2 linked regions of the Medicago truncatula genome follow. Each later gene encodes a partner of the first gene's protein in a complex. Links are inferred from orthologs where the notes say so. Each region holds a gene or a part of one and is shown in the gene's direction. Other genes may lie near its edges. The genes, in order: acetylglutamate kinase, chloroplastic; nitrogen regulatory protein P-II homolog.

Region 1 (5,828 bases):
AATAACATTCAATGCTCGTGGAGATGTTATGTATGCAATCTTAAGGAGAAATCTTGAGGATGTAATGTCAGCAATGCATGCACGCCGTGTTAAGCATCCGCTTTTTTCAGCGTTTCGCACAGTGGATGCAATAAATTATTCTGACATTGCTACCATCCCTGTGGATCGCTGTGTTCTTGATTTTGCAACCGAACCAACAGATTCATTTGTTGGGTTGATTACCATGGATGATCAAGGTGATATGTATTCGTCAGCCAGATCATATGAAATTGGTCGTCGGAGGCCAACTGATGATGATTCTGATCCTGATGATGCTGAAAGCGAGGAAGAAGATGAAGATGACGACGATGACAATGAAGATCCTCTTTTAGGCCCTGGTTTTGGTGTGGGAAGCGACAGTGATGCTGAAGACATGAGCAGCAATGAAGATGATGATGATAGTGTAAGTGATCCTGATGATGATGACGACGATGGAGGTTACATGATGGACGATATAGACTTTGATGGACACGACATGTTGGATATTGTGACGGATGGGGATGAGGACGACGATGATGATAGTCAAGGACTTGAATCCGAGAGTAGTGATGACGATTATGACTTTGGTGGTTATTAGTTGTTAATCTGAGATGCTGTAATTATAATCTCTTCATTGTATTCATTTTTGGGCGAAAGGTCGCTTTGTTTTCTCAAAATTTTGCTGTAGTCTTTCACATTTAACTCTTCCTACTTATCAGTGGTATAAAGTCGAGTAACATAATTGTATATATTTTTAGGAAACTGCATTTTTACTGGGCTGCGAATGCGATATGGGGATGCAACTGTTTTGTTTTTGTTTACAGCTTTTTTAGAGAATTTTTTTTAAAAAAAAAAGCTTCAAAATCAGAAATCGGTCTGAATAGTTTCTTGGAATAAGTCATTCTGTTACGGACTCTTTTTCAATGACAATTTTTAAAAAATGTTTGAAATAAAAATCTAATTTGGACTCTTTTTCAATGACAATTTTTTAAAAATGTTTGAAATAAAAATCTAATTTGAGTGCAATTTCTGATGTGCACAAGTCACTCAAGTGGTGCATGGTGCAAGATAAATTTCTTAATGATTATCGATACACTTGGAGGTTATAGATTTTCACCATAGGAATCAAGACCATGTTGTTTCGATGTTCCTTATACAGCAGCAGCTATTTGAAGTCGGATCTTAAACTGATAAAAATCGTCTAACATCATCAAATTAAAACAAAAAATACAATAGCATACTGATGGATAAAAGATTTGGGGTTTAAAGAAAGTTTTGAAACCCAAGTTGAATCAATTGAAGATTGCAACAGTAACAAGTGCTGCTGGGTATGTTAACATGATGAAAATTGCTGTATACACATTTTATACCGAAATTAAGAACCGGCTGTAGTTAACTACAGAAGTTCCTTCGGCAGTTAACTGCTGAGGAGCTCAAAAATGCCAAATTATTTCCCCCTACTTGTTGAGCTAGCGTATATATGTGTGGTTTGTTTGTCGTGGAATCGAAACTTAAGTGCCTAAAGGTCACAACACTATTATAACTTAACTACCAAATTCCATTTGTTTCCGTTTGTTTTTTTTTCCCTCTTTTGCCTCTCAAGGTCACAAAAAACGGCTAAAAGTAAGAAAAATTATCTTTCTTTGGTGCCACTCTTTTGAGGCATGGTTCACAATCCTTACCTACCCTTGTAAACAAATATTTCAAATTCAAACCCTTTGAATTTAAAGCTAGCTTACCTATAAATTGAGGATAATCAATTATTATATCCTACATCCTCAACTAAAAAAACAATATCTAGAGGACAGGTTTAAGTTTCTAAAGCTAGACACACATTTTCTATATATCTTCTACTATTTTAATTTCTAAATGAGGCACTTAAGTTTCAGTTAAAACGCATACGCTAACTCAACAAGTAGGGAAAAAAATTGGCAGTTTTGAGCTCCTCGGCACTTAAGTGTCAATGGTTTTTTTTTCTTCATCGGCAGTTAACTCCCGAAGTTTCCTTCGGCAGTTAACTGCAGCCGGTTCTTAATTTCGGTAGTTAACTGTCACGGTGGCATTTTCGTCTTTTACTTGTGTTTTTCAGCCTTATAACATGTGTATACAGCAATTTTCTAACATGATTGGGTTTGAATGGTAAAATCAAAACTAGTGGAAGTTTCTAGAAGGGGAAAGGGATAAATGAATATTCATGTTTTGTTGTGTTGTGTTCTTCGAGCCAGTGAGAGTGGGGAAGTCGATTTGGTGTTTAGAGTGTACCATCGCATTTTGATAATGATTAGACTCGCAACCTTGAACCTCTCTGAGGTTGAGTTTGCAAATTGAGAAATGATTGTGATAATTTTTGTGACGACTTTCTCTCTCATATTCAGGCTGTGTTTTTATTTTCTCCCTGTATTACTTTGGTTTTTGTATCAATTCTCATTTTTAATTGTCTGACAAAAATGATTGTTCAAATAACACTCCTCGAGCAAATTGTATGAATTTGATCCTTAAATTGTCATGCTCTCATCAATTTCGTTTTTAAACTATACTATAAAAAGTACATCATTTACGTCGCTGTATGATCATAAAAAACAAAACACAATTTTTTAATTAAGAGAGTAAATAATTGGATGAAAGGATAGTTTAAAATTTGTTTAGTTGATTTTGATAGTTTATGGACCATCTCTATAAAAAAAAAAAATTATGGATCAAATTGTCGAGAGACTTAAAATTTAAGGACTAAATTATCTGTTTAAACCAAATTTTATTGTGTGGAGGTCTACTGACTATATAATTAAACTCACTAATGATTAGTCTCACTCAACCTTGATGACATTTTTTTTTAAGGAACTCAACCTTGATAAGATATACAGTGTTTAAGCTACATGACATGATTATTAAAACTTTATAGTTAACTCCAAAAGTTTGGTTTAGAGTAGTTTGTTATAGTTTTTTCTTAAATAAATTTGTATAATTTAGCATCTTTTTGCTATAAATTTTTAACAAATAATTTTTGAAGGAAAACATCAAATGAAAAATTCGTTTGAATATTTTATCTTGGAATGTTATTATAAATAATATTTCATCATTTTGTTTTAACTTTTTTTGGATAATAACATTTTAAAAATGTCTAAAATAAAAGGCTATTTAAAATAACTTTTCATAAAAATTATTTTTCGAATGATGTTTTTTGATCAAGAATAATATGTGATTTCCAAAAAATTTCTACTATTTTTAAATGAGAAATGTTAACCAATGCCCCCGGGGCACTAGTTAAGGAAGCAAAAGAAGAAATTGTAAATCAAAAGAGACATTTTTTAAGCTTGTAATTCATTAATTACACAACTTTTAATGCAAATATTACTACTATATTTGCTTCATTAATCCGTGCCCCGGGGATACCGATTCCGGTTAACATGACCCTTTTTTAAATAAATTTTCAATTCATTTTTAAAAAAAACAAAGGAAAATTTATGTTTTTTAAATCTAAAACAAATGAGTCATAAGTCCTAAAAACAATATCGATTTTTTACTAAGGGGACTTAAGTCGTAAAAACAAATTAGATTTTTTGATTCTTACTACAATAATATATGTAAGGTCGGAGGTTCGAACTCCATCACCACAAAAAAAAAAAAAACGATAAATAATTTAGTGTTGTGTACTAAAATTTCTAGTCACACTCTTAGAATTCCTGACTACACCCCAAAATTATGATATATATAATGTAGTACTTTTCACGAAAATAAATAAAAATAATAAATCAATTTTTTTTTAACAAAATAAAGAGAATCAATTTAATTTTATTTTTGAGGGAGAGAATCAATTTTTTTTGTTAATCAAGATTTGAGTTTCTTAATAAAATAAAACTGCAGAATGGCACGTGGAAAATTAATTATATCCCCGTAAACCCTAGTTGTATTTGATTTTCAAGTCATTCAGTTCAACTTGGGCTGGCAGTGCAAGCGTGCGTGTAAGTGTAACGCAATGTTGGGAGGAGCTGCAAAAACCTTCACAAACTTCTTGGGAGCTCCATTCCCATTCATCTCATCAACCAAAATCGATATCAAAATCAAACGCACACAAACCAACCTCTCTTTTCCATCCAATGGCTGTCGTTGTATCTCCGCTTCAGCCGCGTCACCCGAGCCAGCATCTCCGGGTCAATTCCGAGTCGACATCCTCTCTGAATCGCTTCCTTTCATACAAAAATTCAGAGGCAAAACTATCGTCGTCAAATACGGCGGCGCCGCCATGAAGTCACCGGAGCTTCAAGCCTCAGTCATTAACGATCTCGTTCTCCTCTGGTGCGTCGGTCTCCGTCCTGTCATGGTTCACGGCGGCGGTCCTGAAATCAACCACTGGCTCGGCCGTCTCAACATTCAGCCCGTTTTCCGTGACGGCCTCCGTGTCACTGACGCTGAAACGATGGAGATCGTTTCCATGGTTCTCGTCGGAAAAGTTAACAAAATTCTCGTTTCTTTAATCAACAAAGCCGACGCCACCGCCGTCGGTCTCTCCGGTGTGGACGGAAAACTCCTCACCGCACGTCCTAGTCCTAATTCCTCAAACCTTGGGTTCGTTGGCGAGGTTGCAAGAGTAGATCCTGCTGTTCTCCGGTCTCTAGTCGACAGCGGACAAATTCCAGTGGTTGCATCCGTTGCGGCTGATGAATCCGGACAACTGTACAACATCAATGCCGATACGGTTGCCGGAGAATTAGCGGCGGCATTAGGAGCGGAGAAATTGATACTGTTGACGGATGTGGCGGGGATATTGGAAGATCGGAATGATCCAGAGAGTTTGGTGAAGAAGATTGATATAAAAGGAGTGACAAAGATGATTGAAGATGGAATTATTGGTGGTGGAATGATTCCTAAGGTGAATTGTTGCATTCGATCGCTAGCACAAGGGGTTAAAACTGCAAGTATTATTGATGGTAGGGTTCCACACTCTTTGTTACTTGAGATTTTAACTGATGAAGGTGCTGGTACCATGATTACTGGCTAATTTACTTGCGAAATCATGTTTTTTAGTTTTAAATTCAAGCTCTGTGTTTTCTTCACAATGTTGATTGCACCTTCAATTTGTAAGACTCGGAAATTAGGTGGTAGAACTGGAAAGCCAATGTAAGTTATGTTGTTAGATAATAATAATTGCCCTGCAATGTTAGGGGAAGCTGTTGTTTACGACCGTCTAATGATGTGGAGGCGTAAACAAACACTGATTAAATCAAACATTTCGGACTCTATAATTTTTAAAACTGTGGTGTTTAATGTTTCATTTTTTAAGTAAGAAATTGATTCACCTTACTATTTCAATGATTAAAAAAATGTTATTTACCCGTTATCAAACACTGCTATAAAAAGGTGCTAACACTTCTCAAGCCTTTAGCCTGCTGCAAACTCCACAGCTGTTTATCTGATTCAGAACTTTCCCGCAGTTAACAACATTCAAAAACAAAAACAAGTAAATAAAGACATTAGAGGGAGAAATTTCGTTCTTCACATCTACTTTTAAAAATTCTTGAACATTGGAGGGAGAAATAAGACTTGGTTGTTCATTCCATTCGTCACATCTTTAACTTCATATACCGTTATCATGAAAGAGAGGGGGAAAAATGAATCTCCATTGCACATTGTCAGTTGTCACGACTTTGGTATGTAGTTTTCTTAGTATGTTGTAGATTGGTTGTTATGGATTTTTCAGTTTTTAGTATGTAGATTGGTCGTTATAGATTCTTCATAAATCAGTATAGTTTTATTCCAATTTTTAATCCCTAAAGTTATAGAATCTGACAATTTTTTTGATAAAATAACATTAC
Region 2 (6,979 bases), on another chromosome or scaffold:
TGGTTCAATGACCGATAAACTACTTTTGAGTAGTATATTGTATAATCTTGCTTTTTTCACTAAAAGTATATCTTCAAGTTGGTCTCAAAAAATTCTGTCTATAATCACCAGTTTAATCTCTCAAAATCAAAATCCTCGCCACATTTATATTCTAAAAATTTAATCACCAAATTAGCTTTTCAGACATCCAAAATATCAACTTTTCATCCATATGAAGAACTAAAGTGATAACAAAAAAGATAAATTTGGTGATAAGTTGCATATTTTTGCAAAAAAAAAGGATAACACAAACATATATAATCAGTACATTATTATCTATTCTAATCGCAAGAAAACCTATTTTAAGTCCCTAACAAATCAATATTTTCAATTTGGTCCCTTGCTAAATTATATTATCTCAATTTTATATATCTACCAACTAATCCTTAGTGAAGATGATGCAATACTTGAACATCGTTCTTAACATCCTACTTTTATGTCCAAAAACTCTAAAAGGAAAGAAGAAGAAAAAACTCTCAACTCTCAAGGTTAACACCACTTTCTTGTGTTATTGTTTTGCAGTGATGGGGTTTTTTCCAATCAAGCAAACCAAGGAGACAATTCACAATGATTGGAAAAAGTAGCTTGAAACAATTTAATAAGGAAAGCTCGCTAGGAAGGCCAATAAAGAGGATCAGAACCTGGTGATTTCCCCTTTTCATTCTCCTGAACATGTTGAACATTGGCATCTGCACAAGGTCTGCAGGACAGGCCACCCTTGTAGAGTGAGTGAATAAGGAATCTTGATTCAAATTGCTAACAATTTCACAAATAAGATGCCCTGGACGAATCCTCTAGTGATAGCAACTACAGTGGCAGGATACCCCAGTACCCAAGTACTCTTCACCCTGTCATTTGAAGTGCGAAACATTCTGTGGTTTTGGGGTCAAAATATTTATTTTTGCAAACAATGAAATTTGTGATGTAGAAAAGGGTATTATAAACAAGACTTACATGTTGATTGAGAATTTGAGATATGTAAAAATAGTATAATATAATCATTGGTTATCCAGAAACTTAAAACTCCAACAGTAGCATGTCAATAACTCAACATTCTATCTCCTTCATTAAGAAAAGATGATCAAGGTTTGTCTGTTAGACAGTTGCATAGAACTAACATCCATGCTCCTTACACACACATCATGAGAAAGTATGAGAAAACAAGAAAATGATAGACAGCTAATCAACAGACTACTTAATCAAGCAAACTACAACTGAACCGACCATTTGAAAGAGACAGCTCCTCCGCTTTTGTGACCACATCTAGAGGGAGAGGGATAAAGCTTCGAGATGGCCCATAAAAATGAGGGAAACTATTTGAACCGTCCACAATTTCATACACCAAACCATCGCCAAGCTGAGGAAATAGCACAGCAAAAGAGAAAATATTACTTTACTATTAGCAAGACAATAGAGTAGCCTAATAATAAAATAACTGTGCTATGCTTATTTATTTAATTTTATTTCATTGAATGAATTATTAATGAAAGTGTTTTAATGGGAAAACCTAAATTTTCAATGGTAATCAGATCAGATTTATATCTTCCTACAAAGTCCTGTATAATCTAGTGTATTCTCATGTGAACAAATCAAATTTTAATACACACTAAGTGTCACTTTATGAATAGAAACAGAGTTTCATTTTCCTTCAGATTTTAGTTGAATGATACATTTCTAATAATCTTCATCACTACCAATAAGCATGTTTTTTTAATTATTTATTCACAAATAAAATCAAGAACACATTAAAAAAAGCATAATGAAGGTGAAGTATGAGCAAACCTTCTTAGCATCAATCTGAAGAAGGTAGAGTTCATCTTTAGAATTCAAGAAAAAATTATCCAACGTTGATCGAACCTGCAATAATAAAATAATTATAGAATTCAGAATCCCAATGAATGAAGTGACTTATATGAACATGAGCAAAACAGTGAAATGAAATCAAAATCAAAATATTAGAAAAACATAGAAATTAATTAACCTGTTCGAGTTTGCTAAGATGGATGAAAGAAGAAGACTTGTCAAGTTCACCACCGAAAGTGGACCCATTTCTTTGCAATTCCTCCCATTCCTTCGCCGTGCTGATTCTGTACACAAAATCACTCATCGTCTACTATAGAATACACAACCGCCAACTCCCCCGTTATTTTCCCGTTACATAACAACATAAATAAATCTATCGAAATTGCAAAATAGTCCTGCGGTAGGGTCGGTCATTTTCCAAACTCACAGCAGCAAAACAACACATGATAAACTTCACGTATTGAATATTTTTTATCTTATATGATCTTTGATGGAAAAAAAATTATTTTGGTATTTTAGACAACGGAAAGATAAAAAATCATGTGGTTTAATGATAACATAATTTTAGTTTTTGTCACATCTCTTAGCAATTAAACAAATTTATAAGGTTTTTTCTAGATTACCTTTGAAGAATGGTGGGTAATTTACCCACCAACCAATGAAAATGAGCAATTTGTTGATGGAGTCAAGATAGTTCATGGATACCACTTAAAAATGTGCTTATGTGGCTAATGTGTATGTTGAGGTAAATTATCCACCATTCTTTCATTGGTACTCTAGTTGTCACCAATTTACAAATCAAACAGAGTACAACTTAAATTCTCCTACTTCAATTTTTTTAAGAATCAAACGCACCTGAATTATTTTAATGTTAGAAATTATTTTGATCAACAAAGTGCACAATCTAACACTATTTAAAAATTTCAATACGTTGAACAAACTCCGACCACCATAAAAAAAAAAAAAAAAAAAAAAACTCAGTTGATAGAAAATATTGTATTATATATAGGGGTCGGGTTCAAGCAAATATACTACACTTTCTCTTTTAAGAGATGAATTTTTATTGGTGTAAACCAATATCTTCTACACGTAATTTCAAAGACTAATCCCTCAAATATTGTGGGATCCATGTGGACGACAAACGAGTTAAAAAAAAAAAAAAAAAGATGAATTTATTATTAAACTGGTTGACCAAAAAAAAAACATGCTAACAAATGTGGCATTTTTAAAAAAATCCGCATAAGCTTGATAAGGTATATATTTATGTGAACTTTTTAATTGTTAGCCTACTTGACTATAAAAAAGTTTAAAAAATTAGATTTTTTAAAATCATAAACTTTTTAAAAATACAAGTAAAATACTCCTAACGTAGTTAATTATGGTTGCTTATACTTCCTCTGATCCTTTATACAAGAAACAAAAGACATAAAACATCAACATCAAGAAAATACATTGAAAATAGTCATCTTCATTTAATACACTTTTACATTTAAAAAAATTCTATGAATACCCTTAAATTAATTACTTTTTATTCCATCAACTTACTTACTTTTAATATTCTCTCTCATAATCAACAAGGGCACAGATGAAATTTAGCTTTAAACATATTTGAAACTTGATCAATCTTGGACAAAAAAATTCACTTTTATTTTGATAAAAAGGACCGGAGGTAGTAATTAGAGAACCGGCCGCTATTAATTGGCACTAAGTTTTTTTAGTAATTTAGGTATGTTTCCAAGGCAGAGAAAAGCAAGTGTCTATCGATTATTACAAAATTACACTTTTAGTCCCTTAACTTAATTTCAGGTAACAGTTTGGTCCTTTATCTTTTTTTCATTTCAATTTAGTCCTTTTTGTCCATTTTCATATACATTTTCAAGCTTCAAATCTAATATTCTTATCCAAACATAAACGAGGATCATAGATTTGAAGACTGAAAGACCATAAGAAAATAAAATCATGAATTTTAAGCTTAAAAATTCATATGAAAATGGACAAAAAGGGCCAAATTGAAATGAAAAAAAGATAAAGGACCAAACTGTTACCTGAAATTAAGTTAAAGGACTAAAGTGTAACTTTGCCATTTTTTTTTAGCAACTATCGATTATTACTTAACAAAACTTCAATTAAGTCAATACTGTGTCTAGCGAGCTAGGGAGAGTTCGGTAAGCGAAGTGAGAAGTAAGAAGAAATGGCTTTGATTGCGAAACCGAACGTGTTCAACGGTTTGAATTTTCATATCAATGAAACTCAATTTCCTTTTTCAAGCTTCAGCGTCATTCGCAAGCGTTTCGGAGATTCTTCTCATCGCAATGTGGTCCTAAAAAGCAACGGAAATGCATCGATTCTTCCCAAAATCAGAGCTCAAAACCTTCCTGGTTCGATTTCCTTTCCTTTAGCTATGTTCATCCATATTCATACTCAAATCTTGTTGCTAAATCTTTGATCTCTTTTTTAGACTATGTTCCTGAATCCAAGTTTTACAAAGTTGAAGCCATTCTCAGGTTATAACACTCTTCTTTTACGTTTTTTTGTGAAATCAGTTGAATTCAGTTATTTCTTGATGCTTATGTTGTTCAATTTCTTGTTTCAACATGAACAGGCCATGGAGAATCCCTCAGGTTTCTTCGGTAATAATACATTTTCCTTTTTCCTTTTTTTTTTTTTTGCATGTCTAAATTAAAATGTGATTCTTGTTATTTTCACTAAATTGGATACATTGTCTTTGATACCTGTGATTTCTTGACATTGTTTACAAGTGGTGGTTAACTCATTGCAAATTCAGTTAACTATTATGGTATTTTCTTGACTAAATTATGTTAGTGTTTTTGGACTGAATTCTGCTAGTTAGTTAGTTAGTTAGTAAGCCTTAGATTAACACAGTGTTAGTTAATTAGTTTCAAAGTCAGTTAATAAGTTAATTATTGGCAAAGTCAGTTAACTGTTATGTTAATTAGTTGGCATTTCATTAGCGCACATGACACATGCTGTGTATATTAACTACTATGTTTCTTGGTGAATTCATTCAATTGATTCCATTCAGCGCCTCTCTTTGTTTTTTCCAACTTCCAAAAGGTTTCATTTTCAATAGATTTTTAGCAGTTGGTGCATAAGATTGTGTTATTGCTTCAAATACTTTTGCGGTCAAATAAGCAAAAGTATTGCGTTAGTTTTATCATTAATATACACCTATAGAATGGGTTCATTACCCTCTTGGGACGAGATCCATGACTTTTGAGTTTGTACTTAGTACTTGTACCCCAGGACCTTTACCTCTCGAATTATTGGTTTGGTCAATGCGGCTCATATATGTATTTTTCATCCAGGAAGCCCTTGGCCTTGTGCTAATATACTGAATTTTTTATTGTAAAATTTGAAGGGTTTGTTGAAAATGGGAATTCGTGGTGTCACTGTATCTGATGTCAAGGGGTTTGGTGCTCAGGGTGGCTCAAAAGAGAGGCAGGGAGGTATGTACGTTGCTGATCTTAACCGACCTAAATTTAGTGCTCTATTCACCCTTGTTAACTTCAAAGACAAATTCATGTTAAGAGTTTGGAGGAATTTTTGTTACCGTCATACATTTTTGAAGTCCATATTTCATCACTAGACTATTTGTTATGGTAAATTTTGTTGAATTCGTGCCTTAAAAAAAACACTTGCTCTTTCTTTTTTTACTAAATGTTAGCGCACAAATTTAGGCCTGTGGCCACCCAACTTCAGCCGTGTTTTATGTCTGTAACTTTTGTTCTGTTATATATAGTTCAAGAATTACATTTTTCCTTCCTTTGGGATTGGTTTGTATACTTAGTTTTGTGCATATATTACATATAGATCGCATGCTCACTTACATCCTTGTCCTTTATTGATGGTTTATTCTTCACAGGCTCCGAATTTTCTGAAGACAATTTTGTTGCCAAAGTTAAAATGGAAATAGTGGTGAGAAAAGACCAGGTGTGTTGACATTTGGTAGTAATCATTGGCATCCTGATTCGTGTGCTACAATCTTAAATACCTAATATTCTATACAATTAACATACAATGTCAGTTGTCTATGGATTTGGGTCTTCTCAGTTTTTTTGGCTAGATATATTGGTGAGAGTATAGCACAAACTTTTTCTTGGATATGATAAGACCATTGCCATTGGTTCCTGCGTATTCAGCATCTTCCGAACTCATACATGACTAGTCACTATTTCAAAGTGTTTGCATTTCAAGAGATTAAACAAAACCGTTTTCTTTTGTTTGACAACAAGGGACATAGTCAGGAGTAGTTAGAATAAACATTTTCAGCTCAGTGGTGTTTGAATTATTTAGTAGTTCGAGTAAAACTTCATGCTACTTTTAATTACAAACAAAATATTGCTTTTTGCAGCATATCTAATACGTATCATGCATTTTTTCAGGTTGAGGCAGTGATAAACAAAATTATGGAGACGGCAAGAACTGGGGAGATTGGTGATGGCAAAATTTTCTGTAAGGCCAACATCTTTTGCTGGAAATCAATTATACGTGATGTTCTGTTTTGAGCTGATACAAACCTGATATGTTTTATCAGAATCTTTCATAATAAATTAGTTTAAGGAGGGTATAAGAGTTACAGTACAATATCTAGATTCAAAATGTAAAACTACTAAACTCAATTTGGAACTGTATCATATTTCTAATAGAACTTTGATTGTGCAGTGATCCCTGTATCTGATGTAATAAGAATCCGCACAGGTAACTATTTGCTCGAGTGAATTGTCTAAAAACATAAAATGTTTACATTTTTGTGTAGAGCATGTGTACTCAAGTTTTAAATATGAATTCTCAGGTGAGCGTGGGGAGCAGGCTGAGAGGATGGCTGGGGGACTAACTGACGCGTTGTCTGTTTGAACAAAAGATTAGCATTTGCAATTTGGTCCTCTGTTCTCTTTTCCCCTGTAGAATTGATAACAATGATGTATGTTGTGTGTATTTTGCACTTTGCTGTTAGTTACTTAGATGTGTGCAATATTCTAAGAACAATGTAGTTGACACATGCAGAGTTGTTGATAGTTAATAAGAATTTGTGAATATTTGATTCTCAAACCAATTTAGTCAGCATTTTTCGTTCAGTCAAAAATTTAGTTCATGTTTTCGTAATTCTATGTATGAA

What was found.
Region 2: the proteins of acetylglutamate kinase, chloroplastic (region 1) and nitrogen regulatory protein P-II homolog are in contact, whole or in part, in a crystal structure (PDB 2RD5), measured with the Arabidopsis thaliana proteins. The link is inferred for Medicago truncatula from reciprocal best matches to the Arabidopsis thaliana genes NAGK and GLB1. Residues at the interface, in NP_191315.1 of Arabidopsis thaliana: Arg195, Glu208, Val209, Ala210, Arg211, Val212, Glu251, Ala254, Ala255, Ile286, Lys287, Lys290, Ile310, Arg311, Ala314, Gln315, Gly316, Gly347; in NP_192099.1 of Arabidopsis thaliana: Arg82, Trp84, Arg85, Gln88, Arg118, His119, Gly120, Gly121, Ser122, Glu123, Glu153, Thr157, Glu159.

The regions. Positions count from the first base shown.
Region 1 is NC_053044.1:53,573,695-53,579,522, reverse strand, and holds acetylglutamate kinase, chloroplastic, read left to right. Parts: upstream 1-3,919; 5' UTR 3,920-3,991; coding exon 3,992-5,014; 3' UTR 5,015-5,287; downstream 5,288-5,828. Other genes in the region: DDB1- and CUL4-associated factor homolog 1, read left to right, coding at 1-616. UniProt on the Arabidopsis thaliana protein: Involved in the arginine biosynthetic pathway via the intermediate compound ornithine.
Region 2 is NC_053048.1:52,074,320-52,081,298, reverse strand, and holds nitrogen regulatory protein P-II homolog, read left to right. Parts: upstream 1-3,964; 5' UTR 3,965-4,033; coding exon 4,034-4,220; intron 4,221-4,300; coding exon 4,301-4,346; intron 4,347-4,444; coding exon 4,445-4,472; intron 4,473-5,221; coding exon 5,222-5,309; intron 5,310-5,725; coding exon 5,726-5,793; intron 5,794-6,245; coding exon 6,246-6,315; intron 6,316-6,525; coding exon 6,526-6,561; intron 6,562-6,655; coding exon 6,656-6,717; 3' UTR 6,718-6,938; downstream 6,939-6,979. Other genes in the region: uncharacterized protein, read right to left, coding at 1,235-1,396, 1,822-1,896, 2,021-2,146. UniProt on the Arabidopsis thaliana protein: Participates in sensing carbon and organic nitrogen status and regulates some steps of primary carbon and nitrogen metabolism.